4 linked regions of the Rhinolophus ferrumequinum genome follow. The protein of the gene in region 4 purifies or fractionates together with the protein of the main gene of each other region. This does not show direct contact. Links are inferred from orthologs where the notes say so. Each region holds a gene or a part of one and is shown on either strand. Other genes may lie near its edges.

Region 1 (6,911 bases), on a different chromosome or scaffold from region 4:
CTAGAAATTGTAACAGCTATATACAATGTCAGAGAGGCAGTAGATTGGGGGAGGGGAGTTATCCCTTTGTGAGGGGTGCAAATGTCTATTACATTGTTTTGTACCCCTGAAACTAAGAAAACAAACAAACAAACAAAAAAACAAGAACTAGAAATATAAAATTTCTGAATTCACAAGAACTACTTCCTGCAGGCTATGCTGTACTCAAGAAGGGAGGGGCCGGAGAGAGAAGTCTAGTGCTTTGGGCAACTCAACCCACCGAGCATGTTTTGCATGTTTTCTCCTCTGTAAACCAAGGTGGTGGTACCAATAAGCTTTAAGATCCCCTCAGTTTAAAAGTCTAACACTTCTGCCACTTTTCTTTTTGAAGGTAGCCAGGGAATTTCATGTCAACCTGTGTGCATGCTGGGAACACAGGAATACAAGGGTCCTGAGCCAAAGTCGTCACCCACCCACAGATCAATCTTAAGTACACTCCTGCGTTGTTCAAAGTACTTGACGTACTTCTAATTAAGCAGTGGTATCAGGGAAGAGGGAGCTAAGGAAGAAACATAACAATTCATTATTATCAGACAAAGGCACAGGCTGTTCAAAATGCACACAAAACCAGCTGGACTAGAAGCAGAGGTTGCAAACTAGCAGCCCGTGACCAAGTGCATCAAACACTTGGTCCAAATACATGTGTGTGCAAACAACGTTTCAACCAGTTATTTAACATCTGTGATCATGCATGCTTTTAGCTAGGGCATGGCTTTTCCAAGTAGAAAATAAACTTTTTCCCTTCTAACGTTAACATTTATTTATAGAGATGAATTGCACTAAGGAATACCTAATTTTATTCTCCACAGAAGAATGCATTCAAATTTGTCCAAAGTTCAAAATTTGAACGTTCCCTTTCAAAACTTGACAAGCTTTGAAAATATTTCAAATGTATGAACTCCATTAAGTAATAGTAATTGAATTTAGAAAATAGGACTTCATCTTCAGTAAACCTGGAGAATAAAATAAGTAAGACTGGCTGTATTTCTAGACCCCCAATCAGAAATAAATTTAAAATATTGGGGTGGACTATTTTCCAGAGTCACAAAAAGTTAAGAATCAGGACCTGTGAACGCTTTGTGTTAAGTAAAAACAAAAACAAAACCATGCAGTTCAGCAATATTTAAAAAACAAAAACAAAAACAAAAAAACTTTTCAGGGATAATAAAAGTAAGACAATTTAATTGAGGGAGCAATAATTTTGATTTACAGATAGCTTTTAATCCTATTAGCTTAACAAATAATGCAGTTCACAACTGGTTAGAACCTGCAAAGCCAGAGAGAAGAACCGTATTAATTTCGTCAAGCCTTCTGGGAAAACAACTGGGTGAGATTTGTAGTGTTCAATCATCAATGATCCCCCTAATCATGTGGAGGCTGCAAAAAAAAAAAAAAATGGCTAACCCACTTGAAGAGAAATAACGCTGAAGAGAAAAAAAAAATCCCTCTACATTGTGTTGTGGGTCCCTCCCTCCTTTTCCACCCCCATTCTCTCTCTGGCTTTAGAAAAGTAAAGCTGGCAGGGACAAATGGCTTCATGTTGTTGGATGGGAGGAAAAGGACACAATGACTCTTGCAGCCATCTAAGTGAGTAAGGGATTGTGAGAGCACTGAAAAGGGAGATATCAAAAAGAGCTGGATGAGCTAATGCCTACAAACCCAGACACACACACCACGACCAGGCAAAAGCTTAGAGCCACATCAACAGATTCTTACATGCTCTGAAAAGAATCTCTTTGAGAACGAGGCTACAATCTTCCGGGCTTCTAACCCAGCTTTTTGCCGAACTTTATACTCCTCCAACCAATTGACGTAGTCAGTGGGGCTGTAGTGTTTCATAAGGGAAGGCCACCTACAAGGAGAAAAACACCCCCTCAGCTTAACAGAGACTCAAAGGCAGGCAGGCAGGCAGGAATCAAAGGCAGCCTTGGAAAACAGGGAAAGCAGTATGGTTTAGTGGTCAAGGGGCCCTGGTGATGGACCCAGTTCCAATCTCCACCCAACACGCACGCACTCGCTCACGGAGTGACCTTGGCATTGCCATAAGAATGCTTGTGTCTCCATTGCATCTATAAAATGGGGACAATTGTAGCGATAATACAATAATAGCGATGACAATGACAGTTAACATGCACTGCGCGCCTCCTAAGAGCTGGGCCCTTTGGCAAATGCTCCCTACACATCTCATTTAATAAGCACAGTCAAAGGTAGGTCTAATTATCAGCCAAGTCGGTGAACGAGGCTCAAAAAAGGGAAGTCTGCCCACAAGGTCATACGGCGAGTATGCCAGGGCCAGATTTTATCCCGGGTCCACACCGAAATCTGTGCTTCTCAACCACCAACCAGAGGATGCTGCGCCCGCTTCCTCTCAGGGCTGTGGGGATCACCGCATCACCAGATCCGTGTAAACATTTTAGCACAGTGTCGGGCACAAAAGAAGCGCGCAGAATGGATGAGCTGCGATACTACCGTCGTCATCCGTTAGGGAGGGCCCGGCTGCTGGGCGCTTCCCGATGCGCAATTTGGGCACCGGAGGGTCCGCGCGGCATGGACCCAAGGGGCCGGCGGCCTGGAGGCCTTTGTCTGTCGGTCCCCGGGAAGGGGTCTGGGGGTGGCATCCGGGGTGGGGTCCGCGCGCGGGCCAGGAGGCGGCGGCTCGGGCCAGCCAAGCCCGCGCGTCCCGGGGGCGCAGAACCAGGGCACCAGCGGCCAGGGCGGCAGGCTCACCTCACCCGGAACTGCTCCTTCCACACCTTCCCGCTACTCTGGCACAGCTCGCGCAGCCGCCGGCAGGTGCTGGAGACGCGGCTGATGTCCGCCGCCGACAGCGAGCCGCTGCACAGTATGTACTCCAGCACCTCGCCGGGCAGATTGACGAGGCAGCTGAGGCCCGCCGTCTCCGGCGCGGCCTCCTCCGCCAGCGCCTGCACCACTTCCATCGCGCTGTCGACCGCTGCTGCCGCCATCTTGTCCGCGTACCTGGGGCCGCTGTGCGCGCGCGCCGGGGGAACCCCACTTCGCTCCGCCCACCTGCCTTGAGGGGCGGGCCCCAGGATGGCCCTGCCCACGCCGGTAGCTCCACCCCCTCTGCCCAGGGTACTTGCGAGGACTGCGCCTTGGCGACGGGAAAGTACCGCGTTTTGGAAAGTAACTGGGCTGTGGGCCTTGGAGCCGTGGACCGACAATGACAATGACAACATCCATCTTTCTTATAGTGCTGGGCGCTTCCTGTGCAGGAGCTCGTCGAACCTTCCCAATAACCCTCTTAAACCATTATTGTCCCCAAGCTACGGATAGAGAAACTGAGGTTCAGGGAGATAAACAGACTTGCTCAGACTCCCTTGTTCTAGATTCTAATCCAGATCCTCTTGACTTCTGCTTGACCGTACTCTAAACTAGCATGCTGTGATCACAAACTTAATATTCTTGAGTGGATGCTGTGCCAAGCACTTTACATGCCTTCCTCAAGGACTCCTCATTTGGGCCCTCTATGGTAGGTACCATATTTGTACCCATTCTACAGATAAAGAAAACAAGGCTCAGAAAGTTGGGAGTCACTGGTTCAAAGTCGTAGAGACAAAAAGTGGTAGATTTGAATTCTCAAGGCAGAAGTTCCCACTCAGGTGTGGGTGGGTACTCTTTTCGGTGTCTGCCCTCGTAAAAGAAAACTCAGGTACGTTTAGTGCCAGGCACTGTGCTTTGTCCCCTGGGGATACAGAGGTGAGTAAGATGGTGTGCTTGCCTCTCAGGAGCTCCAACTCCAGTTGGGGTGGGAGGTAGCGGGGACACACAGGTACAGAACAATGTGTTGTCAGTACTGTTGTCCTGAAGGGCTCACTAACCTCCTCCTCCCCAACCTGGAATCAGCAGAATGCCCTGAGACAATTGAACTAGTAACTGTTACTTTCTGTGGATGTTGTTTTGCCTCCATGACTCTCTCTCTTGCCCTTAGGGATCTGAAATCCCTAACATTGTTGCAAAGACACAGACCCCTATCTACCACTCCAAGCCTGTCTGAAGACATTCTTTCCTTCACTAACCCTACCAGCCAGGCTGATCTCTTTCCTCCCACTTCTGGCCTTCACATGTGTACTATTCCCACTGCCTGGAATGCGCTTTATGCCGGCACTCCCTCCTTCTGGCTGCTCTTCTCTTCCTCCCTTCTCTCATCCCAGCCCCAGAGCCAGACACGGCACCTTTTCAGCATTTTGCAGTCGTGTACTTATTTACTTAATTGATAACTGTTCAACCTGCATCTTTCCTACTAGATCAGAAGCAACTTCAGGATCAGGATTGTCCGGATGCCCAGTTACTTTTCACAGGCTCTGCTCACAGCAGATTCTCAATAATTATTTGCTGATTACAGTTATCTAACCAGTTGTTTACAGCGAGTTACTTAGCCTTTCTGAGGCCCAGTTTCTCATCTGTAAAATGGGGATAATAATAATAATGTTGGCCTCCTGGGACTGTTGAGAGAATTAAATGAGTATGTTTATATAAAGTGCATGTGTACTGTGCCTGACACACAGAACACACTTGATAAAAGCATGTTTTGGGGGAATGGGAAGCAACTGCTTCATGGGCTCAGGATTTTATTTTGGATTGATGGAAATGTATTGGAACTCAACCGAGGTGATGGTTGCACAGCGTTGTGAATGTACTAAAATGCCACTGAATCATTCACTATTGAGTTTCATGTTATGTGACTTTCATCTCAATAAATGTGTTTGAAACTATGTTACTGCCTGTATTCGTTTGCTAGGGCTGCCATTACAAAGTGGCACAGACTGAGTGGCTTAAACAACACAAAGTTATTTTTTCACAGTTCTGGAGGCCCAGAAGTCTGAGATCAAGGTGTGGGCAGGGTTGTTTTTCTCTGGGGCCTCTCCTTGACTTGTAGATGGCTATCTTCCCTCTGTGTCTTCACGTGGTATGTGTGGGTGTGCGTGTGGGGGTCTTAACTCTTGTTCTTATAAGGACACCAGTCCTATTGGATCAGGGGGCCACCCTAATGATCTCGTTTGACCTTAATTACTTCTTTAAAGACCCTGTCACCAAATACAGTCACATTCTGAGGTCCTGGGGTTAGGGCTTCAAAATAGGAAATTGGGGCTGGGGCGGGCGTACAGTGTTACTGCAGCTGCTGCTACTATGGTCATTAAAACAGAAAGATTTAGAGTAACCCCTGGAGTCTGGCAGATCTGGGCTAGATCCTGGACCTTCATGCCTCTGAATTCAGTGGGCGTTCCCTGGCCTTGTTTTTGCCGTCTCCACAGCATCAGCAGACATTGTTTACCATGCTGTTTCTTCTCAAAAATGCTGACTCACCTTGGCCTCTGTGGCCCTACCCTCTCTTTAGGGCTGTTCCCTGTCAGTCTCCTTTGCCGTCTCACCCAGATGGTACATGTTAGGGTACCATGGGGCACAGCCACAGGCCCCTTCTTTCACTTTTCTCACCTCTGTCGACATCTCGAATGACAATCCAAGCTCAGCTAAAATGTCCACGTTTCTCTCTGGCCCGGCTCACTCCTCTGAGGTCCAGCCTTGCTTAGCCAGCCAACTGCTCACCTGACATTTCCTTTGGGCCCCTGAAATTGAACTTATCTGGGACTGAACTTACAGTTCCCCCTCCCCACTTACCTTGTCTTCTCCCAGTGGTTCCTGCCTTAGGAAAGGGTGCCACTCCATCTATTACGGCAAAACCGGAACTCGTCACCGTTTGGCACCTCACCATCCAAATGGTCCCTAGCGGTTAATATCTTTGTGCTTTGGTTTTCTCACCTATAAAATGGGGATAACAATAGACCTTCCTATTAAATGAAAATATGTATCAGTTACTGTTGCTGCATGGCTCTCAACCACTGTACATACTGTACTTACCTCTGTCCGATACTGTAGGGCCTGGAAAGATGGTTAAGATTTTATCTTAAGTGTGCTGGGAAGCACTATCCATGTTCAAATGCCCAACAGAGGTTAAGTTCTCTGTGCCTCTGTTTCTGGAACAGGGAGGCCATTTTCTAAAAGATCCTAATATTTCTTAGATTTGTCTCGGCTCACACTGTCCCAGCCCACGTCTGCACTGTGGTTCCCAACTGTTCTCATGGCTTCTGCCCTGGCCCTGAGAACACTCAGACATTGATAAACAGCTTCCAACCTGTTAGGTGCAAGGCAGACCCCACAGCTGCACAAATGATCGGTAAGCCATTCTTAGGAAAGACTATTGCTTTCTTATCAATGATGTCCTGGCCCTCATTCTTTCTTCCTGTCTTCTGACCAAAGATGCTGTCGGGAAAAAATTAAAATCTCCTGCCAATCTAGAAAATCCTTGCCGCCACTGTAGTAAAGGAGAACAGTTTTCTTTCTTTTCTTTTTTTTTTTTTTTTAAATTGGGGAATATTGGGGAACAGTGTGTTTCTCCAGGGCCATCAGCTGCAAGTTGTTGTCCTTCAATCTAGTCATGGGGGGACGCAGCTCAGCTCTAAGTCCAGTCACCGTTTTCAATTTTTAGTTGCAGGGGGCGCAGCCCAGCATCCCATGTGGGAATTGAACCGGCAACCTTGTTAAGAGCTCGCGCTCTAACCAACTGAGCCATCCGGCCGCCCCAGGAGAATAGTTTTCTTATTGAACAAGCATTAAACCAGACTGTGGGGTACATCACAGGTAATCTGCTGATGAGATTGCAAAGACAGAGAGAAATCCTACCCTTTTTATATACAACCAAGCACTGCATTACATACCTACTCTCGAGATTCATGGTAACTTGTCCTCAAGTGAGAGGACTTGACTGTACTATACCTTTGTTGTAAACTCTTTTCTAGTTCATCCTAAGCTTACCTGGTAGTTGGGATACTCATGGTGCTACCTAATTGCTT
Region 2 (7,301 bases), on a different chromosome or scaffold from region 4:
ACATCACACAGCTGCTGGCTGAGCCGCAGCTCATTCATGATGCCAAAGGCCTGCTTGGTGTGGTCCTCCAGTGTGTAGCTAAAGGTGCGGTTGCCATGCTGGGAAGGTGTCACCTCAGCCTTGCACTCGGTGGAGGCGTACATCACTGTGTCCCCTGCCCCGTCGGGGCACTGTGACCTCAGGGGTAGGAATCGGGTACGGGCCCCAGCCCTGCTAGGCCTGGATTCCAGCTGCATGGGGTTCCAGGTGACAAGGGACAACACCACCACTGGCACTCAGGGGCCTGGAGGAGGGAGAGCACAGGGCTGGGGGCAGGGCCTGGGGCCAGGCCTTTATTAAGATAAAGCAACTCCTACACCAGTTTTCCTTGCCAAGCCCAGGTGAAGCTGCATCCATTTGTGCTTGCTAAATGTCCTATGGCCTCATTAGCCCAAGAGTCCCTCTTAAAACATGTCACATGATGTCACCCCCTTGCTCAGAATCCCCCCACACCTGTCTACAGCACGGAGAGTAAAACCGAACACTTCAATGGCCAGCAAAGCCCTTCAGACTCCGTCCCTGTCCGCCTCTCCCCTTTGCTCACTCTGTTTGGTAGGTAGCCCTTCCCTTCCTAGAGCATGTCCAATTCACTCCTTCATTCACCTCACCAACGTTTATTGAGCATCTACTGTGTACCAGGCACTGTTCTAGGCACCAGGGACACAGCAGTGAGCAAGACAAACAAAAACTGTGCTGGAGTTGATACCTGGGGGGGGAGGGAGGGGAAAATGGCCATAAATAAAATAAGCGACTTAAGTAGAAATTGAGATCATGAAGAAAATGACAACATTGTGACAGTCATTAGTTTTCCAGGCAGAGGGAAGAGTAAGTGCAAAAGGCTCAGAAGCAGAATGAGACAATCTGGAGAAGCAAGGAGGTGTGTCATGACAGACAATGACTACTGAAGGGAGGGTTTCCATGAAACCTGTGGAGTCTGGAGGGCTGGAGCATGAGTTGTGTTTTGAAAGGTCCTGCGGGGAGAAGGGGGGTGGATCTGCAAGAGGATCCCCAGGTTCTCCACCTTATCTTTCTGGGGCTCAGCATAGAGTCACCTCCCAGTTTTATTTCCATCACCCCACTTGTCAGGAACTGAAATAAGCCTCTTTGCTTGCCTGTTGAGGGGTGACCCGTCCCTCTGGCCCTGAGCCCCAGCGCTTCAGAGGGCAGGTCAGGGTTGTGCCCACCCTCTCATGTGTCTCCCTCAAGTCCAGCCTGGGGTCTGGCACTGCACATGGGTCAGTAAGGTATGGCTGGCTGACTGCCCACGCCACTGTGCCTACCAGAGCACCCTCCTTCACCCGGCCCGGGGCGCCGCTTGTCCACCTCTCCCCAGCCAAGGCCCCGGGTCTGCCTCTTGGTCTTTGGCCAACAGGTCAACGGTGCCCCCTGGGCATTTCCCCTAACGAAGCACTAGGTGGGGGACTGCGCATGCCCCGCCTGAGCCGCCACCGAGGCCTGGAGAAGGAAGTAACCCCACCGAGGCCTCTTGACTGCCAATCCCAGGGCGCAGGTCAAGCACCCAAACGCCCCGGGGTCCCCGGGACTCCGTCCGAGCGGCTCTCCCCAGGCCTCTCGTCCGGCTTGTGTGGTTCCCGGGCCACCCCGCGAATCGCGCCGTCCAACAAAAGGATGGAACTCGAGCCGCGCCCTCCTGGCCTTCCGGGGGCCACGGGAACCCCCCAGACCACCGGGCCCGCGGCGCCACGTCCCCCGGCCCCCCGGCACGACTGCAGGGGCGCAACCGGCCCGCCGGGCCCGCAGCCCCGGCGCAGGCCGCTCACTCACCCCGCCATGGCCGCGCTCGGGCTCCGCCTCCGTCGCCCAGGCCCCGGCGCCTCCATCGCTGCGCTGGGGGGTGGGGGTGGGGGTGGGAGGCGCGGAGCGCGCGCAGGTCACCATGACTAAGCAGAGCCTGGCGCTTGCCGTGTCAGAATAAAAGTCCCCGCGGCCCGGGGCCTCAGGCGGCGGCGTTGGCACCGTGGCCGCTCCCCGCTCTCCCACCCCGCGGGCTGTCGCCAAGCTGCGCAACCCCAGCGCCGCGACCACAGCATTCGTCATTGCGGCGCGGCGGGGTCAGGGACCGCAGCTCTCCGCGCACCTAGCCGCGTGGTCAGCTCCGCGGGAATCGGGGCACCGGGTTCGAGGCCAGACGCGTCCCTGCCCACACCGGGCATCAGTGGACACTCCTCCCCGCCGCCGCCGCCGCCGCCGCGCTCACCTCGGCCCCTGCGTAGCCTCGGTAGCTCTTGTCGCGGGGCGGGGATACCTGGGACAAGGCGGCGGCTCTGGGCAATGTGGTGCCACCCGCGCGCTGAGCTTCCGGGAAACCCGAGGGGCCGCAGTCCCGCCGGGGGCGTCTCCCGCCTAACCTTCGCTCTCCCGGACCCGCGGGCACCTCCGCTGTCAGGGGACCTCGGCTCTCAGGAGGCAAAGCCTGAGGGGTCTCGACCGTCGGGTGAGGGGAGGCCTCGGGACACCCGGGAAGGAGGCGGGGAGAGGGCGCGGCGGGAAAGGAGCCGCGATTCTCCGCCCTTCCCGCAGGTGCCCGGAGCCCCGGCCAGGAAAGCCCGTTACCCCTTCGCACTGTCCCTTTCATTCGACCTATTTCGTCGTCTCAGCGCGGGGCTGCTCTCTACGACCTGCGCTTCTCTCTTTAACGCAGGTCTCACGGTCGACGGCCGCAGGATCCAGCGAGAATTATCTATCTAGCTGGGGTTTCTTTGTCTATATTTTTTAGTTATCTCTAATGTAGAGGTGCGTGGAGCTCGCCTGCGGGGCGTTCGAAGGCCCGCTCTGCCACCCTCTCTGGTTCTGTGCGGGTGGGCCTGTGACTTCTCCATGCTTCAGTTTTCTCCCTTTGAGGTGGTAATAATGCTAGCACCTTGGTTACCGGGAGCACTAAATGCGAATGCGAGTGCCTAACAGATGTTAACTATCGCTATTTTTCATGGCATGGAATACTGACTTGCCACTTACGCTGTTTAAGATATAAAGTTAACATTTAAATAAATGTATTTAAGGCTATTTTTCAAAGAGTCCTCTATGAAAACTAAGTGAATAATGGAAACGCAAAGAGGTTTAAGAAAGAATTCCGCCAGCCTCCAGACTGAATTTGGAGGATTCAGTGTCCCTGCTCAGGGTCTGGGATTAAACCCGCGCAGGAGCATGTGGTGGGGTACCCTTCTTCCGCCGCCTTCCCAGATGCGCGAGTCTGCGGTTCTGGACCCCTCCAGCGGGGGACGCTATAGCATAGTTGGCAAATACTGGCAGTGGCGGAAGCTGTGGGAAAACTCGCACCATCCTTAAGGCAACCTCTCATATATGAAAATCAAACCTACAGGCCCTGTGACCCAGTAGTGCCACTTGTAGAGATTTATCTAAGGTATACTCACATACGTGTACACTGAAGTGTTTTGCAGCGCTGTGTATAAAGGCAAAGGATTGGACTCAACCCACGGGTCTCTCCGTGTAACAAGTGGTGGCACATCCATGCTGGGAAATACTATGCAGTCAGTGAAAAGGAGCAAGACATTTGCTGTATGACTTTACTTCAATATTTAAAAATTTAAAAAAAAAGAACAAGTGATATGGACTGAATTGATTAGATTTAGATGAGGTCATGAGGGTGGGGCCCCATGAAGGGATTAGTGCCCTTATAAGAAGAGACACCAGAGAGCTTTTTTTTCTCTTTCTGTACACCATGAGAGCACACAATAGGAAGGTGACCGTCTGCTAGCCAGGCAGAGATTCCTCACCAGCACCCGACCATGCTGGCACCCTCATCTGGGACTTCCAGCCTCCAGAACTGTGAGAAATTTCTATTGTTTCAGCCACCGAGGCTGTGGTGTTTGTTATGGCATCCTGAGCAGACTAAGGCAGCCAAACAATACAAAAATCTGTGGATGGGCAACAATTTCCAGGATATACTATTAAGTGAACAAAGCAAGATGCAGAGCAGTGCTAAAATTGTGTAGAAAGAGGGAAGATGTATTTATATTTCAGCTCATTTATCCACAGAATAGCTCTGGAAGTTTCCCAGGAATCCCCACAGTGATCATGTCCAAGAAGGGGACGTGTTTTTTGACTTTTGTAAAATGTGAACAAGTGAATACATCTACCATCACGCCATCAAGTAACCAAACAATGGGGTGAACTTCAGGCTCCCCTGGAATATGAAAGGAACCTGGGATTGGGGGCACCAGGGCAGGTAGGGAATTGGGTCCAGTCCTGGGATCGTGACCCGAGGCTTGAGTGTTTGTGTTCCAAGAATAGGTTGGTTTCCCGTGCGTGTAGCCTGTTGGGACCTGAGTGTGGCAGGTGGAAACTCAGGCCACCAGGCTGGGTGAGTGCCTCCAAAACACATGGCTTTGTGACTGCCTGCAGTTCCGCAGTCTCCCGGCAGATGGTGGGCCACAGTCTGAGCCCGAAGTGACTCCGCGGCACGCCCCACCCAACGGTCCAGGCCGCATAGGGGTCAGGACTGCGCTCAGGGACAGCCGGGGACCGTGGCCAGGGCGTCTGGAGCCTTTTATGGGCACAAACGGGGCCCTGGTATCGCCCCAGGCCGAGAATGCAGACCCCTCTGGAGGAGCCAGACACAAGGACTGAGCCTGGGAGCCTGACAGCCTCGGCAAGTATCCTGGCTCAGACACTGGGGCAAGGTACTCACTGCTTAGAGTTCCCTCATCTGTCAAATGGGGGTGAGGAAACCCACCTTGCAAGGTAGCAGTAAGGGTGAGAAAAAGGTGTGTCCTGAGCTTACCACTGTGGGGCGACTAGCCAGGCACAATAAGCTGTAATTCTTATTATTATTTTATTATATTTTCATTTTTTATGAAGAATCTGACACCACTCTCAAAGACATCTTGTTTCAGATAGGAATTGGCTGAGACTCCCAGAGTCAAATTTTAGGGTGTCCTGTCTTTGGTGTCCTCCCCTCTAAACTGCAGAGCTGTCCTTGACTACTTTCTTTCTCACTCTCACACTCAATTCCTCAGTAATTCTTTTCGCTGTTTCCAGAATCTATCCGAGTTGACATCATCTCTCCCCCAGGCCAGTGCAGTCACCTTCACCTTGTTCTCCTAGCTTACACCTTTGCCTCACACAGAGATCTGTGAACACCTGAACCAAATCAAGACCCTCCTCTACCTAGAACCCTCCATGGCTCCCACCTCACTTAGAACAAAAGTAAAGTCCTTCCCTGAGCCCACAGTGATCTGCTCTGTCATCTTCCTGCCTTTGTTTTCTCCCGCCTTCACCTTCACTGATGCTCCAGCCACACCTGGGCCCTTGCTTTTATAGAGCACATAGGAACGTTCCAGTCTCATGGACTTTGCACCTGTGGTTCCCTCACCGGAAGTGCTCTTGCTTCAGGTGTTCCCAGGACAATGACGTCTCAGCTCACATCAGTTACCACCACCTCTGCAGAGAGGCGTCCTCTGACCACATTCGCATCACTGTATTGTCACTGGAACTGTCTCCATTATTTCTTCACTCCTTTATTGCCTGTGCCCCCACCAGAACGTCAATTCCACAAGGGCAGAGATTCTTGTCTGTTTTGTTCATTGTTGTGGGGCTTAAGGCCAATAAAGTACATTTCCCTGTGTCTCTTCTTCCTCCACTATCTTCGGCTGCTTTTCCTATAAATTCTATTATTTAAAAAGAAAAAAGTCTGCAAAACATCTCTTAGGGAGGGCAATGGCGGGCCAGAAGGCGTCAGTCTGCAGCTGGTGCGGGTGCGGATACCAGGGTCTCCGCGGCTGTGGGCGCGCTATTGGAGCCGCTGATGTCCAGCCCGTCCCGCAGGGGCGACGAGCGCTCGGAGCGGCTAGAGCTGACATCCAGGTCCGGGGGCAGCCAGCGGTGTAGGCCGTCCGAAGCCCCAGCGGCGCTCCCGGATCGCGGGGAGGCGCCCCAATCTCGGCCACAAGGGCGGCGGCCGCAGCAGACGAGGCGCAAGAGCGCGTGGCGCAGGTCACGGTTGGTGAGCGTGTAGATGATGGGGTTTAGAAGAGAGTTGGCCATGGCCAGGCCTAGGAAGGGGTCCGCCTGAAGGAGCACGGGGCAGGCGCGCGCCGGGCACGCCACGTCGAGCAAAAGTAGCAGGAAGAGGGGGCCCCAACACACCACAAAGGCCAGGAGCACTATACTGAGAGTACGCAACAGCGCCAGCGAGCGCGGCGTGCGGCGCGCTCGGCTCGAGAGGCCCCCAACAGCCCCAGGACGAGCCCGCAGGCGCCGCGCGTTGGCCCGCACCTGGCAGTAGATGCGCGCGTAGAGCGCACAGATGGTGGCCAGGATGCAGAGGAAGGCGAGTACGCAGAAGAGCAGGTACGCCTTGGCGTAAAGCGGAAGGACTGTGGAGCAGTTGTCCAGGTGGCCCAGGCAATTCCAGCCCAGCGCTGGCAGTAGCCCGAGGAGCAGCGACACACCCCAGGCGGCGGCCGCCAGCGCCAGCGTGCGCCCGCGACCAGCAGCCGGCGCGGGTCCCCTGCGCGCCATGGTGAGGAGGCGTTCCAGCGCGATGGCCAGGAGGCTCAGCACAGAAGCGGCGAGAGCAACAAAGACGCCACCCTCGCGTGCAAACCAGAGCGCGGGCGACAGGCGCAGCGTGAGTGGCCCGGACAGTAGGATGTTGGCGGCGTAGGCGGCGCCAGCCAGCAGGTCGGACAGTGTGAGGCTGCCCAAGAGCAGGAACATGGGCGCATGGAAGCGCGGGTGGCGTCCGAGCACTAACAGTACCGCCAAGTTCTCGAGCACGATGAGCGCGCACACAGCCAGGCACACGACGGCGTCGGCGCGCAGTCCGGCGCCGGGCTGGTAACGCGCACCGCGGAGCTTGCCGGTGTAGTTGTAGTGCAGGACGATGACCTCGCTCACCGGCGCCGGCCTCAGCAGCCCCGGATCCATGGGCCTCCTGCCCCAAGGCTGCAGAGAGGCCAGGTGCAGTGTCAGGCTGGGCTCGCACCATCCCCGCGGCCTGCGGAGGCGAGCATGTGCCTCGCAGAACTGGGAAAGGAGCCCTAACCCCCTGCCCTCCACCCCACATGTACACTGGGGCCCAGGGAGAGTTTGGGATGGAAGGGGGCTGGCCATGGAAACAGGCCCACACAGAAATAATATTGGGACAGGGTGACACAGTCCCACAGTTGCTGAGGGATACTCATAATTCACACACAAACACGGATATCCAGAGTCATAGTCAACTATAAACAGACAGAACGCACACAAATACAACCACACACAGAAAGGGACATATAAAT
Region 3 (7,812 bases), on a different chromosome or scaffold from region 4:
ACTAGAGATACCTGGCAGGAAAGCTTTTAGTGGCCCTGAGGCTGGAACAGACATGACCAGGGACATCCCTTAGAATGGCTTATGATATGTGGGGGAAAAAAGCTCAAGGGCTCAAACTTACCGGAAGTTTAATTTTACAATTAAGGGCAGTTATCAACTTGAGGCTATAATTTCCCACTAGGTGCATTTTTCTCTTTACTCTACCCATACTCATGTTGTCTTGCCCCTTCCCCCACTCTTCAGACCAAACATTAAACTTGCCCTCCTGCCCTCAATCTTAACAATTACAAAACTCTCAGATGGACGATGTGATGGAAAGACTCCTAAATTGGGAGATGGGAGGCCTGGGTCTGCTCTCTGGTTCTGCCATTAACTCCCTATGTTCCCTTAGGCAATTCTCACTATTGTACTGCTTTAAAAGACTACCACTCAGACACTACCTCACTTAGTTCCACAACCTTTGGGAGGTATCAATACTACTGCCCTTCACCAATACATGAGGAAATTTACGGCTCAAGAAGTGGAGGGACTTTCCTAGGTTCCCATGGGAAGCAGCAGGCTCAACATCTCGCCCAGCCCCATCCTCCCCCCAAGAAACAAACCTCCACCTCTAGGTCTTATGAGAGATACGACATTCTGGATAAAACATCAGGAGTGCGTTTTCCTCTCCTCCACCAAGACCTGACCTATTCAAGAGTGAAAGTGATATGGGAGAGTGCCCTCACCACAAAAGTTTTAAGCCTCCCTCACTATAGAAATTTTAAGTCTCCTTTTCCCTACTTTGTAAGCTCCTGAGCGCCTGGCTTTGATTACTCTTCTGATCAGTTTCTGAATCCTAGACTAAAGATTGCTCCTAGCCTGAATCACAGGATGTTTCGCACCCCGGCCTCAGATGATTACTTAAAAGCCTGCAACTTCCCAACCTCCCCAAAGCCATTCCAGACCTAACTCTTGGCCATCCCAGAAACCAAATAGGTTTTCGCATTCCCACAGGCCAGTACACTTGTTGAATGTAATCTATGAAGCCTAATGTTCTTTCCAACCCATTTTGGGCCCAACTCCGGGACTACTGACGCCACCTGAATGACTGGTTGAATGGCCACAGGCTCTAGAGAGCTAAAAGATGTTAATTAAAACCTATTTTTCCTCATTCAGGGGCTTTGGGGATACAGCAGATACCCCAGCAAGACTGCCAGTCCCAACCAAAGAAGCCAACACAGTCTTCCAGACAGATCCCGAGACCCCTTCCTCTCATCTGAGATCAGATAGTTCTGTGAGAGGCGAGAGTTCTGTGAATCCCCCAATGGGTAGGGACAGCTCTACGCCCCTGTCCAACAGGAAGCCGATACAGAAGAAAAGATCTCCTGTCCCTCAACTTCCCATAGCCATTTTATGGGGATCATGTCTCTCAAGGGAAAAACCAGGCAGGCAGTTAGAGACAGGCATCGGGTCTCTACATTACCGCCCAGAAGACCTCCCCTCTCTGTCTGAAACGTCCCCCTTTCTATTGTAAACAAATGAGTACAAGATATCCAACTAGATCAAACCAGCCACTCACACCTGCACAGTTTAAAAAAGATGAGGTAATAGCCTCTTGTCAATCACAGGTGTCAATCAGGCGGTCCCACGCCTGGAAAGGAACAGCCCATTTGAGAGAAAAAGATAAAAACCACCAAGGCCTCATTAGTCGGGGCCCTTGAGCCATTCTCTACTGCTCCGACCGCTTCTATTTCTTTGAAGTGTACTATCTCAAGTGTACTATCTCTTCTAATAAATTACTCTTTCACCACTTTATTTCTGTGTCTCGTTCAATTCTTTGCTCCGGACGCCAAGAACCTGGACTCTGAGCAGAGAAGGACTCCTCTCCAGTAACAAAAGCAATACATTTATTGTTGGGGAGGAAGCTTCACCTTCCCTCTCTTTTGAAGCATAATCAGCAGTTAAAGAGTACTGAGGCTTTGGGGTAAACACACACACACACACACACACGCACACACACAAATACACAGAATATCTTTTCAAGAAGCTGAAAAGTTGCTTCCAGAGAACACTGAAGAGCTGAGGAATAGGGGAAGGGACCCCTTTCTGAATGTAAAACCATGTGAATATACTGTTTAAAACACCCCTGTAGTTTTAAGATGAATTTTAAAAAGCTCTGTAAGAATACAAATAGTGTTTATAAAATAATGGTTCCGCAACTCCACTTGTTGCCGCACGACCCTGGGCAAATCACCTATCTCAAGCCAAGTTTTCTCACTTGGAAAACTGAGTTGTAACCACGAACAGCATTATCTAAAGGGCTTCTGTACACCGCATAATGTACGTAAAGCGTTTAGCACCATACGCGACACCCTGGTACGCCTACGGGAAATGCCAGTGACCAGTATTATTTGGCATGAATATCACCTCTATTTCAAGCAGCACCCCCGCCCCCGTACACACCTGTTTCCACGGTGTACCCACAACTACGGCGCAGTCCCTCACATTAGCACAGCGCTTGTAGCTCAGACACTACCTCTCCACACTTCACCATCTTTCAAACTCATGGCAGCCCTGGGACATCCCTGTTAACTCATTTCGTAGCTAAGGCAACTGAGGCACTAGGAGGCAGTAACTCCGAGATGCAATGTTCCCATCTCTACCATCAACTCCAGATCCCTTCAACCCGTTCGTCGCTCTCAGGTTCCCGGCGCCCGGAGCCGTGTTCCGCGCGGCACTGACCTGAGCGAGCGCCCCGGGGCCCGGGACCTCGCGCGGGGTTCACACCGACTAGGCGCTCTCGGGCCGACAGAGCCTCGCAGCGGCCGGGTCCGCTCCGCAGCCATGGCGTCTGCAGGGAGAAAAAGACCAATGGCCCGAGGCGCGGTAGGTCAGCAGAGGCGCAAGTGCCTGAGCACCCCCTCCCCAACCCGGCCCCGCCTCAAATCCAGCACAGACCTGGACCAGCCGCCGCCGCTCCGAGTCTGCAACCTCACAGGGGAGCGGCTTCCGGTGCTGCTTGCGTCATCTCCGCGCGTCCCTGCACCCGAGGCGCCCGGCGGATGCGGCTGCACTTCCGGCCCCCGCCTGGAGGGGGAAACGGGAGGGCCGGGGGGACCACCGGGGGAGGCGGAGCGTGCGCTGTACGGTCCTCACGACGCTTCGTCTGATGGACGCTTGACCAAAACTTACTTCCACGCTGTGTATCCGAATATGTCCGGCCCATTTGTGTCCCTCATCCAATCTGATCTTGCTCCAACTCTGCGGCACTTTTTGTTATTATCCTCACTTTATGGAGGAGAGGGAGAAGCTAAGGGACGTGTCCAAAGTGTCTTAAGACGTGTCCACTGAACACCTGTTATGTCCCGAACCCTGTTCTAGCGGGTTGGAGTAGTGAACAAAAATCACTGACCTTCTGCGGCTTACCTCCCAGTGGAGGAGGCAGATAAGTAAGACAGGGTGCAAGCTTTAGCAAGTGCTAAGGGGAAAAATTAAACGGGTTGGTGAGGGAAAGAAGAGAGTCGGAAGATCCAGATTCGAATCCCAGCTCTTACACACTCTGGCTGTGCCCATGGCCTAGTTACTTAACCACTCTGGTTTTATTTTCCTTATCTTTATAGCGTTATAGTATCCTCCCTCTCTTATCATTCTGAGGACTAAGGAGATGAAACAAATTTTTTAGTGTCAAAAACTAAAATCATGGGAGATGAAATACAAATTTTTTAGTGTCAAGAACTAAAACCATGTGCTTCCTATGTGCCAGGTACTCATCTAGCCACTTTATGTGTGTTATAGCACTCAATTTCCACAACGACTCTACATGGAAATAGTAGTTACTATTATGACTGCAATTTTAGAGTTGAAGAAACCCAGGTCAAAAGAGGATTTCAACCTCGGTGCTCTTCGGAGCATAAGTTATCCTTGTCTCTCTGGAAGGGCTCATAAACCTCGCGCGCGCGCGCGCGCGCGCGCGCACACACACACACACACACACACACACACTCACATGCATTATACCAGTATCCAATAGGATTCACAGCAATGATATTGTCTACCTGTGCTATCCAATAGGGCAGCCAGTAGCTTCTTGCAGCTATTGAACACTTGAAAAGTTCTTAATGCAACTGTAAGGCTTGCGGCGAGATAATGAGGCTAGTCAGGCGGGGACCATGCCCGTAGCTGACCTAACAGCAACTAAGTAAATAAATTTTTGTATTTAATTTTAATTAGTTGAAATTTAAATAGCCACATGTGGCTTAGGGCTACCATATTGGACAGTTCGGTCCGATTATATAGACATAACATGTAATATAGATAATAAGACAGTCAAACACCCCATTAGTGGTATAGCACAGCCAAAGCTCCAAACATCCTGAGTTTACCTAGGGTAACTGAAACATGGGAAATAAAATCATTGACCATGTAGAGTGGAAGCCAAGTATGGTGTCCTAAAAGTCAGGTCTCAAGGGAGCAAATTGGATGTGGTAGGCAACAGGAAACCTCTGCAGAGTTCTAAGCCAGAGAGTCACTGTTGACAATATTATAAGAAAAATTTTAAAGACATGGGTACACAGATAGGATAACGTCTATGAAAAGGAAGCCACTACTAAGGTAATAAAAAAAATCAAGCACCACTATATATTTGCAGCAAACACTCTCAACCCCAACATGGTAGGAGTTTGATAACTCAAACTGAAAAATTCTAGATGGAGCTGCCCCAGAGACAATATTGTTTAAACTTCTCATGGACAAAGAAACCAAATTCTCTAAGCCCAGAGGAAATCCAGGAGCATAATTTATGGCTCCAAAAAAAGTTGCAAAATAGAATGTTTAAATACCCGTAAGACCTATTTAATCATTAGATTTATTATATGTAAAACTTCCCTTTCACTTGAATGGTTTCTGAAGTTAGATTTTCCCACTTAGTAAACATTCCCCAGATTACGTTGTTGAGAAAGCATAGACACCTTTAAATATAATGAGTTATTCCTAGCCAAATAATTACAAAAACTGCTGTGAATAGCAGGCAGGCGAATCAATATATGAAAAGAAAAAGAGGAAATATAGCCTGCTATGACAACAGAATGCTCGGTACAATTGCTTATGTGATAGAAACATCAAAATATACTGGGTGTTCTTTTCTTAAAATAAACTTGCTGGTAGAAAGAGTGTTTGGGATAATTCCTACACATACATGCTCTAGGAAAATAGCCAACATCAAATGCTCAGTCTCTTCAATTTAGGCTAAAATGGACTACATGTTGTTTTCCATTTTGAGATAAAGTTGCCTGGGAGAAGTAGTTGGATTTAGTAAAGTTCTTGCATAGCCTATATTAGGAATTCAAAATCCTTCCCAATGAGAGATACCCCAAACCTCACCATATGTTTCCTTGGGGAGAAAAACTGTACCCACACAGGATAACATGTATTCCTTGATGTTTGGTGCACGTCTTGCATGTGAATGTACTGGGGGGCAGGAACTACTCCAACTGTTTAGTTTCTCTCTTTCTTTTTTCTATTCCGCCATCTTGATAGATTTCGCTCAACAGTTTAGTTTCTTGAGAGACACTCCAAACACTGTATGATGTTTCTCCTTGTGTGATGGTGCTGTGGAAGGGGCGATGTTGGCTGAACTATTCTTTCCACTCCCATGCATACTTCACCTGGAGCTCAGCCTAAAAACAAGGGGTCAGTTTCAAGAGGTACAGAAGATTGGAAGCATTTGAAGAGGTTCACTTTTTTTACTCTTTGTTCTGGATTCACTCCAGCTGTAACATGATCAGCACTTGCTCTCCTATAGAGCCAGCAGGTATTCTGGGACAAAAGCTCAGGTTGATTGGCCAGAAACCTTATCCTGAAGTCTCAGGCACAAAGTACTTTACCTCAATTGCTGTTAGACTGGCGTGATCCTGAGATACATTTGGGCATAATTTGGCATCTGGACTCAATAATTTCCAAAGCTCTGAAATTGCTCACAGACAACATGCAGGTAAGTTTCTTGTAATCTTTGAAGCATTTGCTATCTATTAAAATAGGCTTTGAGGAGGCTGAAGTTTCTTCTATGTACAAATAATCAGCACTGAGAAAATGGGAAGGAGTTCAGATTAAAATTTCAGGAGTTTGTTTTGTTGTTTTTTTCCCATTGAAAAAACACGGAAAAGTAAAAGATGGGAATCAGGATTCTCTAGTGGTTAAGAGTGAGCTTTGGAATTTGATATACTTGAGTTCAAATCATAGCCCTACCCCACCCCTTCACCCACTGAATGATCTTGGGCAAATTACTGAACAGCTCAGATACTCAGCTTAATTTTGAAGAAAACGTATCTGAAAGGGATATTACCAGGGCTGAATGATTAAGGCGTGTAAAGTGCTTAACTCAGTGCCTGGCCCATGGCAAATATTATGGGATGCTTTGTTGATCAAAGCTCCAATGAAGAGAGATTTAATTCCTTTAATGTTCCCTGGCTTTATTATATTACAATACTGCATATGCTCTTCCAGATGGAAAGTTTCCATCTCCTTTGATGAGGCGGAGTAAACTTGGCAGGGATCCATCCTAGATCTCTGAAGGGGTGCTAGCAGATAGCAGGAATCTGTCCATATTGACAGACATGTCAGATGGATTAAGGGACATTGTCAAAACAGACAATGTCAGAATTCAGTATTAGATTAAGTTGAAAAGTTAAACTGGAAGAATGTAAATGTTTGATAGCAGCCATTGTGCTACAATGAAGTGGTTGCCAACCAAAGCAACCATTTCATTGAAAAATAGCCCTTGACCTTTGTAATTAGAGAAGAAACTGATCCAGGTGCTTCGATTCCAGAAAGAACGTCATGTATTTTCCTACAGGTTTTTAGCACAATGATGCCACTTGTTACTTTATGTCCATGTGTCTATGTCTGATTCCTCTTTGCTCTCCCAGTGTTTTAACACAGCACCTTGTATTATAGTAAGCAGGCTCTCATCCAAACAAGCAACCAACCAACCAACATTTTATTCATTGTCCACTTTATGCCAAACACTGAACTCAGCAGCACTGGAGAAGAGCGAGATATGATGCCTGCTGTGCAGGAGGCCACAATCTGGTGGGAGAGACAGATTCACAAAAATAAATAATAGGAAACACTTAAAATAATGTACAGCTAAGTGCTAGTAAGATAAGAGGTACATACAGTGTTCAGTGGGGGCAAAAACAAATGGAAATGAAGCTTGAATGAATGTGTGCTCTTCTCTTATTTAGGTGACAGTCTGCAGACTTCGGACTCACCAGTGGTGTTTCATTCTGTTTAATGTTATCCTATTTCATGCCCTGCTTTTTGGGGCAGATTTTGTGGAAGAATACTTTCTGCATGCTTTGCCTTATGTAAATATGAAAGTTCTTGAAATTAAAGATAAGGCAAGAAAATTGAACACGGAGCCCCTAAGAAGTAACCTTTCCAAATATTATATCTTGAGCCAGTCAGAAGTGTGTAAAGGGAAGAATATATTTCTGCTCTCTCTCATCTTCAGTAGCCCAGGAAATGAAACAAGACGGAACCTCATCAGGAAAACCTGGGGTAATGTGACCAGCATCCGAGGGCACCCCATTCTCACACTGTTTGCTTTGGGGATGCCTATTTTGGTAACTACCCAGCAAGAGATAGACAGAGAGTCCCATAAGAATAATGATATAATTGAAGGAATCTTCTTGGACAGTGCTGAGAACCAAACCTTGAAGCTCATCACAATGACACAGTGGGCTGTGACTTTCTGTCCTAATGCCCTCTTCATTCTCAAGGTCGAGGAAGAGATGTTCGTCAATCTACCAGGCTTGGTCGACTATCTTCTCAATC
Region 4 (6,988 bases):
TTAGACCAAGATAGGGGGACAAGAGGTGGAGAATATTCCAGGCAGAAGGAACAGGAATAAAAAAGAGCATGGACACTTCAAGAATGGAGAGCCAGAGCAACTAACTACTAGACTGAGCAGGAGAGTGGCTCACGATGATGCTGGAGAGGTAGATGAGTGATTTAAAACTAAGTGCCTACAATTTTAATTCTAGAAAGTTGACATTTCTTTGCCCCACTTCTGATCTCAATAGAAAACCATTTTAATACCTGGATGAAAAAGTAATCTCAACTTTTTCTAATGTGGTCAACCTTCTTGCCCCTATTGCTATATGGATACTAAGTCTGTCAATAGCTATCAAGTTCACCATGTGTTGACCACCACGTGTGACGGAGTATGTGGAGATTTAAATGAAATTTTAGTGCAATTAATTGCCTATTTAGATGTTGGCAGTGATGTCCTTTTACACATCGGGCTAACATGCAAAATCCTTATTTCTTAGGCTTTTCTTTATAAATCTTGCTGAGCACAAACTAACTCGGATAGAATATTTTAGCTCAAAGTTTACCATTTTTGCCTTTGAGTTTGGGTCCGAGATGGGAAATACAAAGGAATGATCCACAATGCCTCTGGGTCCACAATTCACTGTAAATGTGACTATGCCATCTTTAGATTGAGTAGATATATTCTGAGAGATGGGTATGCCTCCAGTACATCATAAAAACTAATCTGTTTCAAACATACCAATGGACTAGATGCAGAAGACCTCAAGTGCTCTGACTGTGCTTTGTATTTCATTGTGAAGAATAAATAACATTGGTGACCATCAGAAAAGCCACAATCTCTGTAACCTTCTCAATTATCCCTCCCCCCCCCCATTTACTTACAAAGATCCATAATGTGGTTCCTGCAGATGGCACAATTATCAACCACAATGTCCCAGGCCCACAGGGCTACTGCATTCCACTGCAAAAAGAAAAAGGGGCACGATGCAGTCATACACATACGCATACACACACTCTAGGATTTCATGCTGCAGTGGCAAGTTAGCATCTCTTTGGCCACAGGGACCACCAAACAAGAGTCTTTGGATATTACTTTCTTCTTATTTATTGCATTAGATGGCAATAGTAAGCTATACATATGCTCACCCATTTCCCAAACAGCTGAGTACATGAACACAGAAATTAATGTGTCATCTTCTAATTTTACTTTTTCCTACAGCTTAAAATGATCTGGTCAGCTATATCAATGTAAGCAAATCAGGAATAATTTGTAAGTGCTCATTTCAGGTTTAATGAGTAGAGTCAAATTATTGTGCAGGTTCCCTGGCAGTTGCAGGAGAGCTCAATTTCTGCATAAATAAATATCTGCTCTTCAACGCAAGCATGAGTGGGGAGGTGAACCCTAGGAACAGAATGAACTAAGATGATGATTGGATCATAAAATGGGTAATCGTGGGATAAGCTGGATAAAATAATTACCCAGTGTCAGTACACAGAACAAGGTCATCACTTAAGTCTTACAAGATTACTTCCTAACAAATTCTAGAATTCACTAGAATTTTGTTTAGCTCCTACCATCAAATAAACTGATGGGCTCAACTTTTCATGTGAAGACTCTTATATATAGTTAATTCCAGTAGGAGTTTATCTAAAAGTGGCATTTAAGTAATTCAACCTTCTGGCTTCTGCAATTATAAATATTCACAAACTTCCTTTTCATCCACTAATTTGATGCCACTTCCCAAACTGTCATCTCTTTCAATCCAATTTTCAGTGTCTTAGTAACTTCTTCAGCACTTTTTACCAGACAGCTTCAACTTGGAGGAAAAAAATCCTACTTCTATTATTATTCAATATGGCTGCTGATTGTAACTGAACACGCAGTGCCCACAATGAAACACCAAAAATCAACTAGGAGGGGGAATATTGCCAGTGTTTAGCCAGATGTTCTAGGAATAACATCGCCCCTATTTCAGAATCTTCATTTTGAACAGATTTATTTTATCTTAAGTGGAAATCGACACCTTTCCTCCTGTTAGGAAACCACGATAAGGCATTTCATGCAAAAAGACACGTTCCACATTTTTCGCTATCCCACTTTTAGCAGGTCGTTCGCAACTAGTACTTAACCCTCACTCAATGAAACAAGATTTGGGCTCGCATTTTCTTTATAACAAATTCCAACATGGTGTTTTGGTTTGTTTTTTTTTTTTGGAGGGGGATTCTGGATATGACCACATGACTGGGGCGGCTTGTGTGACAATCAACAGATCTCTCAAAAGAGCCAAGAGTTACACTCAAAACAAGACACTAACTCGGCCGGGCTCGGGACACAGAGGGGGTTAATGATAATGGACGCCTCGACTAGGCTAGGACCGGGTCTGGGTCCCTCACAGAGAGAGACCCCGAGGTTCGTAGAGGGGCGGGGCAGGGAGATCACCAGCCTATCTCCTCAGAGGCCTCCAATGCGGTAGGACCTCAGGTTCCCGGCTTTCGCCGCACTGCCCCATCCTCCACCCACCGCATCGCTCCGACTCCCCGCCTTCTACCCACCCCACCCTCTCCTTCCCCACCCCTCCACCACTCCAGTGACAGCTCAGGCGCTTGGCTCCCGCAGCCAAGTCGCAACCCCGCGTATCTCAATAAGCACATCCGTGATTGGCCCTTCAGCCTCTTAGCGAAACCAATAGCGCCACTGACAGTGGACCGCAGGCATGCCGATCAACCCTAAGACCCGCCCTCCGGCTTCCTTTCGTGGTACCCGGTCCCAGGAACGCCCTGAAATGAAGCCCTTTCCTCCGCGCCTCGGTCATCCACGGGCCTGCCAGCCAGATCCGCGCCTCTCTAGCTTCCCTGAGGAAGGCGCTGGCGAGACCCAACCTTTTTCACTTCAAAGCGCTTCTTGCCCGCGCCGCTGTTGGTGCCGGTCGGGGTATCCACATCCATCGCTGCCGCCATTTTGGAAACACACGGTCCGTCGTCCGGCCACTGCGCCTGCGCACCAGCGCACGCCTCGCTCCCCCTCCCGCCCCGGCACCTCCTCCCGCCCCCCATCCCTTACTGGCGCGCGAGGAGCAGGTGGGGGCGGAGCATGAGGCCACGCCTCTTAAAGGCGCTGGCGCAGGTCACCCTCCCTCTTGCGTCGGCGGGGGAGGAGGCGGCGGTCGGAGCAGCTGGGGCGGGGCCGGGCGGGGCAGGGTAGACGTGAGCGAGCCGGGTGGAAACGTTCGAAAGGACTCGCTCTCGTCGCCCTCCCCTGGGAAGCCCCCGGCCACACTCCCTCAGCTTGGGCGGCGGCTGCTTCCTCCGCCGCGGCTGCGACCTGCCGCCCCGGCCCCGCCCCGCCTCTCCGGCCGCCGCGCTGCTGGCATGCCGGCGGCTTTTCCACTGCGTTCAGTCTGGGAAGAGGCTAGGGTGGACGCCCCCCTTCCTGCTGCGGAAACCCGAGTCCGCACACTGGCGGTTCGCAAATCCTCACCCGCTAACGATACAGGCTCGCGATACAGCTTCCCTGGGAGGCCTGAGGCTGGGGAGATCAGGGGCCCAGGGCACCGTTTGGTTTTCTGAGTCCAGTTCAGGAAATGATCAGGATTCGACCGGGAGACAGGAGCTCCCCGAATGTTCTCCCCAGGGCCAAACTGTGCAGGCATTCCCCAGCCCTGCCTTCAGCTGCCCACCTGAAATAGGTGGAAGAAGGAGGCTTGGGAGCCTGGGAGGTGCCATTTCCAGCCCGCCCGAAATACCAGTCCGTCCCAGAATGGTATTTGGTTAAGGTACACGATTTCAACTTCACGCAGTTCAGCACACATTTCCCATTCCCAATTGGTCATCTAACTGTGGGGTCCTTCCTCCCTAATTTTGGTCCTTTTCCCCGCTCCTAGCACTGTGCTTGGATCTGTGGTCGCAGTACTTCTTGAATTTGTTGTATGAGGCATTCAGCTATTTATTCTTCCCGGTCATTCTTTCCCAGCCAAAGCACCTGTATTTTGTTACCTTCGCATTTCTAGACCGGACATCTGATCTAGATAATCCCTTTTGCTTCTCTCCTCTTGCAGAAATATAATTTAGGTCACTCTTAACTCTTACATTGGCTTATTTGAAATCTCATATTTTCTCTTAAAAGAAAATTGGAGCGCAATGGAGTGTTGACTCCGTTGCTAAACGGGACTAATTGCGATTTGTTTCCCTGCTGTAGTCATAAACAGGAATATCAAATCCGTGAAAACATTACAGCTTTAACCAGACTTAGAGAAAAATTGAGACCTTAAAAGCATTATAGGAACCCTACAAAGTTTTTCTTAGCTCAAGTTTTGTTAAATTAATTCCATGTTAAGATTTTTGTCACCTATTTATTGTGTCCTAAAGGCCCCTATAGGAATACTAGAAAACCATAGTAAGTTATTGAGGACATATTTATGCTTCATTCAACAAATTCATTGAGTATGTACCAGGTCCTGTTATAAACAGGAGAGATTCAGTGATAAAAGGAGTCAAATTCCTACTAGGGAAATAATACACAAGTCAATGAATAAATATATCAGAAAATCTCTGGTATCGAGCGCTGTGAAGAAGACAAAACAAGGTTATGAGATTGATGGGAGTCGGAAGCAACATTAAATTGGGGGGTTAGGCCTCTATGAGGAGTGACATTTAAGCTTAAGTCCTTACTATGGCTTAAAAGGCCTTGCATGATTTGCTACCCATTCATTTTACGATGCTTTAAAAAAAAATGCTACATGTACTTTCTATCATAGTTTTTTCATTTTTTGGGTTTATTTTTGTATGTCCTTACTAATAGAGGGGATTTTGATTGTTTTGTTTATTGATAACAAAAACTGGAACAGTGCCTGGTACATTGTAGGTGCTCAGTATGTCTTGAATGAATAATTTTGAAGCTTTTAGAGCAAGAAGAGTGTGGTAAGAGATGTTGGACAAGCAGGCAGGGCCAGATTAGATACGGATTTTATTGCAGATGTTATGGAAAGATATTGGAGGAGTAAATTATGGGAGGGGACTAACTGACAATCTTAAAGATTGTAAAAGTTTTAAAGCTTTGTGAAAAAGGGATTGTAAGGATAAAAGAGAGGAAGCAGCAACAATTTCCAAGTTGTCTGATTTGTATATAGCTATGATGGGAAGATGTATGATCTTAGGGGTGGTTCCATTAAGCTCTGAAAACCTCATCTGCTATCTCTTTTGGAGATTTGCCTTGCTGTGGCAATTGGCATAACATTCTGTATACTACATTCTGCTGCATAAGCCTACGAAAACTTTTTGTAGGTTTCATACAGATTCTTATTCTTCATAATTTCACTCAGTTTACAATGCAATAGGTTATGATTTTACTTTAGTATTATTCCTTTCAGCCATCTGTCCATTCAACAAATATTTCTAAAATATCTGCAGAACCTGCTGTGTGTCAATTACACCATGATCGTCTATATAAAAAGTAATCTGATATTTTAAGTTTTTGCAAAAGGCCCCATTTCATCATTCAACTTATGGTGTGGTAGTAGAGAGGTGAGTCAATTAATGATAATTCCAGTGAGTTTTAGGAAAGGGAAGTATACGGTACTGTGAAATAGAAAGCAAATCTAAGGGTTAGGAGGTAGTCCTCTTAGAGGAAATGGTTTGAGATTGAAGGATGAGCCAGACAAAGGGGTGGAAGCAGTGGTATGCTGGTAAATGTTTTAAAATCAGCTAAAAAAAACCCAAACCTTGATTTGTATCTTAAGCAGCCAGATTTCAAAGTTCCTGAAAGTTTAACAATTGCTCTTGTAAGCTGATGTAAGTTGGCTCAGCACTCACACAAACAGATATGGGAGAAGGTGGCATTCCAGGTAGAGCCAACAGTAGAAGGGGCTGGAAGCTGGAGTATGTACTCGTATAGAGCACTGGTAAAGAAGCTTGGAATGGATGGAATATAAAGAGAAACAGTGAAATGAGTCTGCAATAATATTCAAGAGTCAATAGTTAGCATCTCTTCCATATTCCGCAACATCATGTTGGTAGCTTAAAATTGGCCATAATAGTAGTATTTATACCATGGAAATCAGCAAACACTACAAATCAGGGTTCCTCCTACCACACAGAATTGGTTGTTAAACATTTACCACTGGTAGGGGCCAGGTCATGCAAGGCTGTTCAAAAGATCCATGCAAAGAGTTTTGGTTTTAGTGATAGGAAGCCATTGAAGGGTTTTACCAAGCGAGTCGCATGGTCAGATATGCCCTTTAAAAAGGGTTAGACAGGACTTCCACTTCTGGGAAGATGGAGTAGACATACTTTTCTCTATCTTCCCTCTAAGTACAACTGAAATCCCTGGACATATTTAAAATAAAATAAAATTTAACAATAACAAATAAGAAGACTTTGAGATGGAGAGAAGGCAGACCAGTTAGGGAGCTCAGGATTTGAGGAATGATGTGGTAGTGAGTTTCCTGGGTTTTCTTATTGTCTCATACATCCCCCCCAGACTTGGAGATGAAGAAGCTAGAATCCCCAAAATGCTAATAAGTGCAAACAAAAAAGCCCTAACAAAAGGCTGCTTTTTCAAGCAAACAGAAAACTTTTAGAAAATATCTGCTCTACTCTATCCAAACAACACAGAAAAATTGTGGCCCCACTCCCACCCATGCCAGCAAAGCTGAGTGGGGATCCTAGTCTATACAGCTCACAAATCTGTAACCAGGTGCCCTAACACCTATGCCAGGGTGGTAGAAGCCAATTAGGGAGTTGGAACTTTTATCCTTTCTGGCTGATAAGCCCCCCTACCCCTGTGGTAAGAGGGAACATAAGGGGGTCAAGGCTTTCACTCCCACCCAGCAGTAACAAGACACCCCTGCCCATCCTTGCTGGGGTGGTGTTAGAAGAAACCTAGTGGAGAGTTAGGACTTTCACCATCGCCCATCAATCATGAGGCCACCTCCACTGCAGTGTCAGTAGAGACCATGTGGGAAGCTGGAACTCCTATCCCTGCCCAGCAGTAACAAGGAGCACTCCCA

What was found.
Region 1: the proteins of RBX1 (region 4) and FBXO21 purify together in Homo sapiens (affinity purification with mass spectrometry; 3 studies listed by BioGRID and IntAct, with this or other methods). This does not show direct contact. The link is inferred for Rhinolophus ferrumequinum from reciprocal best matches to the Homo sapiens genes RBX1 and FBXO21.
Region 2: the proteins of RBX1 (region 4) and KEAP1 purify together in Homo sapiens (affinity purification with western blotting; 6 studies listed by BioGRID). This does not show direct contact. The link is inferred for Rhinolophus ferrumequinum from reciprocal best matches to the Homo sapiens genes RBX1 and KEAP1.
Region 3: the proteins of RBX1 (region 4) and FBXW2 purify together in Homo sapiens (affinity purification with western blotting; 3 studies listed by BioGRID and IntAct, with this or other methods). This does not show direct contact. The link is inferred for Rhinolophus ferrumequinum from reciprocal best matches to the Homo sapiens genes RBX1 and FBXW2.

What each region holds. Positions count from the first base shown.
Region 1 is NC_046308.1:10,891,627-10,898,537, forward strand, and holds the start of FBXO21 (F-box only protein 21), read right to left. Parts: upstream 3,006-6,911; coding exon 2,767-3,005; intron 1,892-2,766; coding exon 1,756-1,891; intron 1-1,755. UniProt on the Homo sapiens protein: Substrate-recognition component of the SCF (SKP1-CUL1-F-box protein)-type E3 ubiquitin ligase complex.
Region 2 is NC_046301.1:39,782,462-39,789,762, reverse strand, and holds the start of KEAP1 (kelch-like ECH-associated protein 1), read right to left. Parts: upstream 3,006-7,301; 5' UTR 2,409-3,005; intron 2,064-2,408; exon of another isoform or gene 1,825-2,063; intron 284-1,824; 5' UTR 237-283; coding exon 1-236. Other genes in the region: S1PR5 (sphingosine 1-phosphate receptor 5), read right to left, coding at 4,568-4,697, 5,795-7,134. UniProt on the Homo sapiens protein: Substrate-specific adapter of a BCR (BTB-CUL3-RBX1) E3 ubiquitin ligase complex that regulates the response to oxidative stress by targeting NFE2L2/NRF2 for ubiquitination.
Region 3 is NC_046295.1:71,265,226-71,273,037, forward strand, and holds the start of FBXW2 (F-box/WD repeat-containing protein 2), read right to left. Parts: upstream 3,018-7,812; 5' UTR 2,938-3,017; intron 2,831-2,937; 5' UTR 2,722-2,830; intron 1-2,721. Other genes in the region: B3GALT9 (beta-1,3-galactosyltransferase 9), read left to right, coding at 5,963-5,968, 7,221-7,812. UniProt on the Homo sapiens protein: Substrate-recognition component of the SCF (SKP1-CUL1-F-box protein)-type E3 ubiquitin ligase complex.
Region 4 is NC_046293.1:6,875,393-6,882,380, forward strand, and holds the start of RBX1 (E3 ubiquitin-protein ligase RBX1), read right to left. Parts: upstream 3,023-6,988; 5' UTR 2,943-3,022; coding exon 2,865-2,942; intron 946-2,864; coding exon 867-945; intron 1-866. UniProt on the Homo sapiens protein: E3 ubiquitin ligase component of multiple cullin-RING-based E3 ubiquitin-protein ligase (CRLs) complexes which mediate the ubiquitination and subsequent proteasomal degradation of target proteins, including proteins involved in cell cycle progression, signal transduction, transcription and transcription-coupled nucleotide excision repair.